Linked DNA regions of Neurospora crassa OR74A. The protein of the gene in region 1 interacts with the protein of each later gene in a pairwise test. Links are inferred from orthologs where the notes say so. Each region holds a gene or a part of one and is shown in the gene's direction. Other genes may lie near its edges. The genes, in order: NCU02510, NCU04115 and eat-2.

Region 1 (3,757 bases):
TCGGGCGAAGGCTGCTTTGCCTTCTTAGGCTTCTTGGACTCCTTGGACCTGTGGGCGGGCTTTGTGCCAGTCTTCTTCACCTCCTTGACCTCTTTCTTGGCGCCCTTGACTGCGACAGTGTTGGAGCCGGATGTCTTGGGCTGCTTCTTGACAATCTTCTGCTTCTTGGATCTTCTAGTGTCGACTTCGGTCGTGGTTTCGTCAAAGGGAATGCCCTTCTTGCGCTTGAGGTTGGCGAAGTGCTCCTCCGAGAGGGGCTCAGGAGGGCCCTGTTTCTGCATGCGACGTCCGACACCCATTTTGATGGTATTGCTGGTCGTCTGGTGGTGATTGGGATGTTGTTGGGGTTGGTTTGAACACTGATAGCCCACCATCGACAGGCGCTTGTGGATATTTCTCCGGGTCGATTTTCTTTTCTGAAAAAGCTTATCGATAGCAATGCCAAGTCTCTTTCCTCAAATCGGGTTCCACCTCACTGCGGTCCCAAAAGGTGAGCCATTGGTCAGTGCCCCACATTAGTCAAGCTGGGCCAAGTTCGGAATCCCTGTAGCAACAGCTGACGCTACCCCTGGAGCTGGGCTGTTCTGGAGTAGGGAACAGCTGCCCCTGGAGCCCGGCATGAACGGCGCCCCCGGAGGCAGGCGGCCTGGAGGTATAAGGTACCTAGAGGTAGGAAATGGAAGGACCGTCTGACGGACCTCGCAGGAGAGGCGATCAATGCGGGCAAAGGAAAGTAGAAGGATGACGGGATGAGGGCGGGCAACCTGGACCGGGCGGACAGCTTGAAGCGAAGGGGGCAGGCAGGCCTCCCGGGCAGGCGCCTGCCGCCTGGTCTAGGCGCACCCGACGCAGGGGGAAGCACTGAATGGAGCCGGCGCCGGTGGGCGGTGGACGCCCCGGCCGCGAGGTCCCGTGTTAACACATCACTCAAAAGCAGGCAGGTAACCTGAGAGGTACTAGAGGTACCTTCCGTCTGCGCTGAACAGTTGCGGCATGTACAAACACACTGGACAGCTGGAGAGGCATCTCACCTCAGCACCTTCCATCTTTCCTGCTGTATCTTTCATCTCTCACGGTACTAACTTCCCGTAACAAACGACGTCTCCTCTTGCTGCTTTGCATCCTTCAACAACCGCGATTCTTCTCTATTCTTTCTGCTGGAGCATTGAAGTGAGGTGACATCGAGGTACCTGCTCGCCTTTACTTTACGTATCTGTAACTGAGCGGCAAATCGCGACTCACCTCTCACCCACAGTTTGGCGGCGGGTTTTACTGCGTACCTGCCTTCTGGACCTTGCGTTAATCCTTCCACCTCCAACCTCCTACCTACCTCTACCTACCTGATTCATCCGTCCTCTTTCCCCCTCCCCATTTCTCGGGAGCTCGGTCATTTTCCCCCCAAAGTACAACCAACCACCACCACCACCGCCTCCTTTCACGTCGCCGCCATTCCATTCAGTCCACGGAGCTTCACGAGCCTCCATTTCCCCAATCTTTCTACTTCCCAGCGGATTCACCTTCCAGCCGCTTTTGATAAGTTGGCTGCTAATCTTCGTCACTCTGCGCGCAGCTTAGCGCAACACCACCGCCCATCATGGCTCAGGCCCTACCCATCAAATTCCAGGAGCTGCTGCAACTCAGCGCCCTCGGCATCAACCAGACTGCCATCACTTTCAATACCTGTGTACGTTGTCCTCACCTTGCTCTGACTCTGCTAGTGACAGTTGTCGCGCCTCCTCTGGCACCCCTGCTGACGTGAACCCCCCGCTCCCAGACTCTAGAATCGGACAACTGGGTGTGTATTCGCGACAAGAAGGACGAGGCAGCGTCCCCTGAAGTCATCATCGTCGATCTCAAGAACGGCAATAATGTTATCCGACGTCCCATCAAGGCCGACAGTGCCATAATGCACTGGACGCGCCAAGTAATTGCCCTCAAGGCCCAGGCGCGCACACTCCAGATTTTCGACCTCGAAAACAAGGCCAAGCTCAAGTCGACAAACATGAGCGAGGATGTCTTGTTCTGGAAGTGGGTTAGCGAGACCACGCTTGGCTTGATCACAGATGGCTCTGTTTACCATTGGGATGTCTTCGACCCGAACCAGCCCGCTCCGGTCAAGGTCTTCGATCGTAATGCTAATCTCCAGGGCAACCAAATAATTAATTATCGGACCAGCGCCGACGGAAAGTGGATGGTTGTTGTCGGTATCTCACAACAGCAGGGCCGCGTTGTTGGCGCCATGCAGCTCTATTCCAAAGACCGCGGTATCAGCCAGGCTATTGAGGGTCATGCCGCTGCTTTTGGCACCCTCCGACTAGAGGGCGCCCCGGAGGACACCAAGGTGTTTACCTTTGCGGTCCGCACCGCCGTCGGCGCGAAGCTCCACATTGTCGAGGTCGACCATCCCGAAACAAACCCCGTCTTCCCCAAGAAGGCCGTGGACGTCTTCTTCCCTCCCGAGGCCAGCAATGACTTCCCCGTCGCCCTCCAGGTTTCGCAAAAGTACGGCATCATCTACCTTATCACCAAGTACGGTTTCATCCACCTCTACGACCTCGAGACTGCCACATGTATCTTCATGAACCGCATCTCAAGCGATACTATCTTCACTGCTTGCGGTGACAAGGATTCGACCGGCGTCATTGGCATCAACCGCAAGGGACAGGTTCTCTTCGTCAGCGCCGATGAGAACACAATCGTTCCTTACGTCCTTGAGGCACACGGCAATGAGCTCGCTATCAAGTTGGCTTCTCGTGCAGGGCTCCCAGGCGCCGATAACCTCTACCAGCAACGCTTCGAGCAACTCTTCAGCAATGGCAACTACCAAGAGGCCGCCAAGGTGGCTGCCAACTCTCCTCGAGGTTTCCTTCGCACTCCTCAGACCATCGAGCGCTTCAAGCGTCTTCCACAGCAGCCTGGACAGATGTCGCATATCTTGCAGTACTTTGGTATGCTTCTAGACAAGGGTTCGCTGAACGAGCATGAGACCATTGAGCTTGCCCAACCCGTTCTCGCTCAGAACCGCAAACAGCTATTGCAGAAGTGGCTCAGCGAGAACAAGCTCGAGTGCTCTGAGAGACTTGGTGACATGGTCCGGCCCCACGACATTAACATGGCGCTTGCCATCTATTTGAAGGCCAACGCTCCTCACAAGGTTGTTGCTGGGTTTGCCGAGACTGGCCAGTTTGAGAAGATTCTGCCCTACTGCGGTCAAGCCAACTACCAGCCTGACTTTATTCAGCTTCTCCACCACATTGTCCGTGTCAATGCTGAGAAGGGTGCCGAGTTTGCCACGACGCTTGCCAATCACGAAGGCGGCCCGCTGGTCGACTTCGAGAAGGTGGTTGACATCTTCCAGTCTCAAGGAATGATCCAGCAAGCAACTGCTTTCCTTCTTGACGCTCTGAAGGATAACAAGCCCGAGCATGCCCACCTTCAGACTCGTCTATTGGAGATGAACCTCGTCAACGCCCCCCAGGTTGCTGACGCCATTCTTGGCAACGACATGTTCTCCCACTTTGACAAGGCGCACATTGCGAACCTCTGCGAGCAAGCAGGTCTTTTGCAGAAGGCCCTGGAGCTCTATGAGGATCCTGCGTCCATCAAGCGGGTTATTGTCAACATCCCTGGAATGCCTAACTACAACCCCGAGTGGTTGATTGAGTATTTCAAGGCGCTGTCTGTTGAGCAATCGCTTGACTGCCTGGACGCCATGATGAAGCACAATATTCGCCAGAATCTCCAGACTGTCGTTCAA
Region 2 (2,784 bases), on another chromosome or scaffold:
ATCCTCGTTATACGCCATGGTGAAGCTTTAGGCGAAATTTGTTGGAAAGTGTTGGAAAAAGTGGTTGTTGATGGTTGGTTGGTTGGTGGGTGTGATGGACGGGGCAGATGTTCAAGATATGCGGTGTCGGGTTTATTCAGAACTCATCTACAGCAGTACGAAAAGGTATCCGTGATGTTTGCGTGTAAGTAGCAGGGACTCCAGACGCGGCCGAGTGGTGATCTAGAATATGGATCGAAAGCCCTTGGGAACAACCTCAAATGGCAGAAGCGTGGACTATCAACACAACACACTAGATGACGGCAAGAGAGAAGTGCTCAGCACGAACTAAGCACCTAGTCAAGCTCTGTGGTCCAACTACACCGGAGTCGTTTCCCTGCTATTACCAATGCTGTCACCAGGAAGAGTTTGCAGTGCAAAGCGCAAATGAGCGTGATCTGGATGCTCTGTGACAAACAACTGAAACCACAGCGAGGTGAGTGCTGAATGTTGTTGATGAAAGGAAGAAGAAGAAGAAGAAAAAGAAGAAGAAGGAAGAAAGAAGTTGTCGACGGGAGGTGGTGGGACGGAACGAAGCAGACGTTGGAGCTTCCTCCATCCGTCCAATGCGAGGGCAGGCAGGGGAAGAGGGACAACGGAACGCCTGCCGCACGCAGACAATGGAGTTGCCTGCCGGTACCTAAAGGTAGCTGTTACTACCTCTACGGCTTCCCCTGGCCAAATGGAGAGGCCCAAGAGGGTCGCTGTTACTGTGGACAAGTGCCAAAGTGCCCCAGTGGCCGCTGTGAGTGGCGTCCCGTCGCAACCTGGAACCTGGCGCGATCAGGAGCGCTGGGGTGGGCTGCAACTCGGACTCCCGCAGTGCAACACCAACACCAAAAGACACTTCCATCAAACAACGAAACACCTTGCCTGTTTCGCAGCTTTCTTCGATCCTCCGTCCTACCCAATATTTCCGTTTTTCAGTCCACTTCTCCAGCCTCCAGTCTTGTCCGTTCGCGCCGATCTACCAAAAGTCAAATCACACCACCCACATCATGGCTGACAGATTCCCCTCGCTGGAGGAGTTCGACTCCGGCGGTAAGCTTGGCGTTGTTTGGAGATCCCCTTACCTTGCTGTTACTGCCTGCTAACATTCAAACCCCCACAAAAGCCCAGACCGAGATCAAGGAGGGTTCTGGAAGCCCCTCGGCCTCCAACTTCCTCGAGCGCGAAAAGGCGCTTCTCGGCGACGATGCCAACCAATTTGCGACAGTTGAGGATGCTGGTTTCGACGATGACAACGACCTCCTAGGGGGTGGCCTTGACTCCTCCGCTGGCGCCGGCGCTGGCCTTGAGACTAGCGCTGCTTTCGAGAGCCAGTTCCCCGACCTTTCCGCAGGCAACGAGGTACGACTAAATAATGATGATACCAAAGATGTCGACACAGCACGTAATCATGGTCTTGGGTTCTAACATGGGGCATCTTCACTTTAGTCTGTTGCGCCAGGCGGTACCATCACTGGCGCCGGTCCTTCCGTCACCTACAACTCTGGATATGCGCCATACGCCCAGGAGGAGCAAGAGCCCGAGGTGATCAGAGAGTGGCGCGAGAAGCGTGATGCGAAGCTTGCCAAGCGGGCGGAGCAGTTCGCCGCCCAGAGAGCCGAGACCATCGCGGAGGCGCAGAAGAACATTGACGAATTCTACGAGAACTACAACAACAAGAAGGAGAAGGCCATTGGGCAGACCCGCAAGGAGGCCGAGGAGTTCCTTGCCAGCCGCGAGGACACCACATCGGGAGGCACGAGCTGGGAGCGCATTGCCAAGCTGGTTGACGTTAGCGGCAAGGGAGCTAAGGGCGGTGCTGCTGGTTCCGGCAAGGAGCGTTTCCGTGAGCTCCTGATAAGCCTAAAGAAGGACGAAAAGGCCCCCGGTGCCTCGGGGATTTAAAGCGCTTACTTGATCTGCCCCCATGACAAAGGGAACGCCTGGTTACCACTATTCACAGGTTTCACACCTCCATGGCCACTACTGCCCCATGGCCAAAAAGCCATAATTTTGTAATGATAGAAAAGACTTGACAGCTGCAGCCATCAGTGTTTGGAGCTTGGTAATCGAAGCGCCGAGACCCAATGGATCACGATTTCCACGGTTACAGTAGCTCTCCCAAAGGTGGTCGGTGGAATCCATGATGCAAATAGGGAATATCGGCGTGGCGGCCTACTTCTTGGAGGTATCACCCAAAGCGGCCTGCCCTCTGCCGCCATCTATGCTGCTCTTTGCGACTATACACATATTCAAAGGGATTCTCGTGCTTCTATCATGACCAGTAGCACCGCCTTCGTTGACTATCGTGGTAGGACGGCTAATTTAATCCTCCGAGAACCAGGTGTTGTAGCCGAGAACCTTGCGGGACATGGCGTACATGGAAGCTGATGTACAGTTAGCGGAAGGAGCAAGGACGAAGCGATAAGCCATCAATGAAGGTATACGCACCGCCGAAGGTACCCCACATGGCAATGTTGAAGGTGGTCATGATGATGCCGCTGCGAGGGCCCTGTTCGCGATTTTGTCATCAGCCCTTATCCCGACAAAACCTCCCTCTCCGTCTCTCCCTCTCCTCCTTCCCATCTGTTGATTCCCCAACCATCCTCAAGTGTCGACTTCAACTCACAATCTTCCAGAGGCGGGTGTGGTTCTTGAAGGCCTGCTGGTAGTAGCGCTGCTTCTCGGGGACGTGGTTGGGGGCGTTGACGAGGCCGCTGCAGTCGGGGAAGAAAGAGAGCTGTTAGCCTGGGATTC
Region 3 (2,170 bases), about 690 kb from region 1:
TCAACGGTGCTCGTTCATCTGCCCATTCGACAGTCAAGTTCTTCCGTGGTCTGTTGAGCTTCCGCCTTGAGGGCATGGATCCACTTCAGAAGACCGACGTTGTCATCAACAGCAATAACGATGTCCAGATCAACCTGCAAAAGCTGAACAAGCTTGTCGAGACCTTCGCTCCTGGCTTTGGCCAGCTCGCTAACAAGGGTGACCTTGGCGACATCGTCGATCAAGAACTCAGCAGGGCAGCCGATGCCATTGCTGCTGCCGTTGCCCGTTTGCAGAAGCTCAAGAACAAACCTCGCGATGGATATACTACCTACGAACTCAAGGTCCACGACTCAATCCTCGATGCCGCCATGGCCATTACCACCGCTATCGCGCAGCTCATCAAGGCTGCCACCGCTACACAGCAGGAGATTGTGCAAGCTGGTCGTGGCTCGTCTTCGCGCACCGCCTTTTACAAGAAGAACAACAGATGGACCGAGGGTCTTATTTCCGCCGCCAAGGCTGTTGCCAACTCTACCAGCACTCTCATCGAGACTGCTGACGGTGTTCTTTCCAACCGCAACAGCCCTGAGCAGCTCATCGTTGCATCTAATAATGTTGCGGCCTCCACCGCCCAGCTCGTGGCTGCCAGCCGTGTGAAGGCCGGCTTCATGAGCAAGAACCAGGAGAGCCTGGAGGAGGCCAGCAAGGCTGTCGGTGCCGCCTGCCGTGCGCTCGTCAGACAAGTCCAGAGCATGATCAAGGACCGCAGTGCCGAGGATGAGCAAGTGGACTACAGCAAGCTTGGGTCGCACGAGTTCAAGGTGCGCGAGATGGAGCAACAGGTACGTGATTCCTTCGAGATTTCCTTCCTCTTTCATTTCCGGTACCCTTGGTCTTGCCTATTATGGTTCATTGCTGACCAATTCATTCTCTCCCCATCACAGGTCGAAATCCTTCAACTCGAAAACGCATTGAATGCTGCTCGCCACAGACTTGGCGAGATGCGCAAGATTTCGTACCAACAGGATGAGGACTGATTGTCCCGCAACACATGGGGTTGTTGAGGTAGTATACTCGGTGGCTTCATTCATCTCGCTGGCTTTACGCTTCAATGCGCAGCGTGGGCACATGCATCCGACCAGATCCCCTCCCTCATTCTGTTTTCGTCCCGCAGCGTCTTCCAAAATCTTCATCAGATGTTTTATATTTCAACTACCCCCTCTGTACCTAGCTCGAATTCCTTTGGGAGTCATCAGGTGTTAGTGTTAAACTCAGTTTCATCCACCTTGTTCTTTTTCATCCACTGAAGTCGTCAATTGGCCGTCGTAACTTCGGCCTCGGATATGTTCCGTTCGCTCTTCGCGCGGGTGTTTGGTAACACAGGCAAACCGCCACTCCCGCTGTCATACTGCTGGCATCCGTCGTGTTTCTTTTATGGCGATGTACATCCTTTTTTTGTGGTTTCGATTTTCGCGTTCGCTGCTCGCTGCTCGCTCGATCGGTCGGTCTGCCAGAAAGTTTACCAGATACGTCAAGAGTGAGTAGGCGACCAAATTTCGTGCTTTGTGCTGCTGAATATCACCCCTTTTCCGCCTCCTCTTCCCCTTCCCCTGTCACGTCAGTCCTTCAGCCCTCGGCTGTCCAATTTCCCTACGTCTGCTTATACGGCCCATTTCACTCCCTCTCTTCGCTTTTTTGTCGCAGCCCGTTCGTTGTCTCGTCATCGGTGGCTGCTTTCGTTCGTGCAGCAAGATTCAGAACGAGAAAATCTCTGGTGGAGGGAGTTCAAGTTCCGTTTCCTTCCTATCGCCTGGTCCATTATGCTGTTTTCTCTTTTTCTTTTCGTTCCCCACGTCAGCTTGAAAGTCTGGTCTCTGTCTCCCTCTTGACTTGCATTTCCTAGTTCTTCCCATTCTGGCAGGCCAAGCTAAAGTCGAACCATCACACTCTCCTGCTTCCCTCTCCGGTCGGTTGGCGTTCACGTTGTTATGCTATTAAAGTGCTCCTGCGGAGTCGTCGTTGTCGTACCAACCAATAGCTTGGATGACGGGTAATTGGATGTACCAGTGCCAAGTATTGGATCCGCTGGTGTTTGCTGCGGGCAGATGGTTGTGATGTCCATGAGCTGTACAATAAGAAGAGATGTATGGGAGAGCAGGGCAGCGTGGGGCTGCGTTGGGCAAGCAAT

The links.
Region 2: the proteins of NCU02510 (region 1) and NCU04115 interact in binary tests that used the Saccharomyces cerevisiae proteins (3 or more experiments, as listed by UniProt). The link is inferred for Neurospora crassa OR74A from reciprocal best matches to the Saccharomyces cerevisiae genes CHC1 and CLC1.
Region 3: the proteins of NCU02510 (region 1) and eat-2 interact in a two-hybrid assay, tested with the Saccharomyces cerevisiae proteins (2 studies listed by BioGRID, with this or other methods). The link is inferred for Neurospora crassa OR74A from reciprocal best matches to the Saccharomyces cerevisiae genes CHC1 and SLA2.

What each region holds. Positions count from the first base shown.
Region 1 is NC_026501.1:2,562,716-2,566,472, reverse strand, and holds the start of NCU02510 (clathrin heavy chain), read left to right. Parts: upstream 1-994; 5' UTR 995-1,594; coding exon 1,595-1,684; intron 1,685-1,774; coding exon 1,775-3,757. Other genes in the region: NCU02511 (S-adenosylmethionine-dependent methyltransferase superfamily domain-containing protein), read right to left, coding at 1-374. UniProt on the Saccharomyces cerevisiae protein: Clathrin is the major protein of the polyhedral coat of coated pits and vesicles. In yeast, it is involved in the retention of proteins in an intracellular membrane compartment, presumably the trans-Golgi.
Region 2 is NC_026505.1:4,896,459-4,899,242, reverse strand, and holds NCU04115 (clathrin light chain), read left to right. Parts: upstream 1-786; 5' UTR 787-1,037; coding exon 1,038-1,080; intron 1,081-1,153; coding exon 1,154-1,389; intron 1,390-1,476; coding exon 1,477-1,932; 3' UTR 1,933-2,136; downstream 2,137-2,784. Other genes in the region: NCU04116 (DUF618 domain-containing protein), read right to left, coding at 1-18; NCU04114 (hypothetical protein), read right to left, coding at 2,353-2,414, 2,479-2,539, 2,657-2,744. UniProt on the Saccharomyces cerevisiae protein: Clathrin is the major protein of the polyhedral coat of coated pits and vesicles. In yeast, it is involved in the retention of proteins in an intracellular membrane compartment, presumably the trans-Golgi. The yeast light chain is important for cell growth.
Region 3 is NC_026501.1:1,867,946-1,870,115, reverse strand, and holds the end of eat-2 (cytoskeleton assembly control protein Sla2), read left to right. Parts: coding exon 1-824; intron 825-926; coding exon 927-1,019; 3' UTR 1,020-1,564; downstream 1,565-2,170. UniProt on the Saccharomyces cerevisiae protein: Required for cellular morphogenesis and polarization of the cortical cytoskeleton. It might act in concert with proteins such as CDC42 and CDC43 to limit the region of cortical patch formation to the cortex of the bud.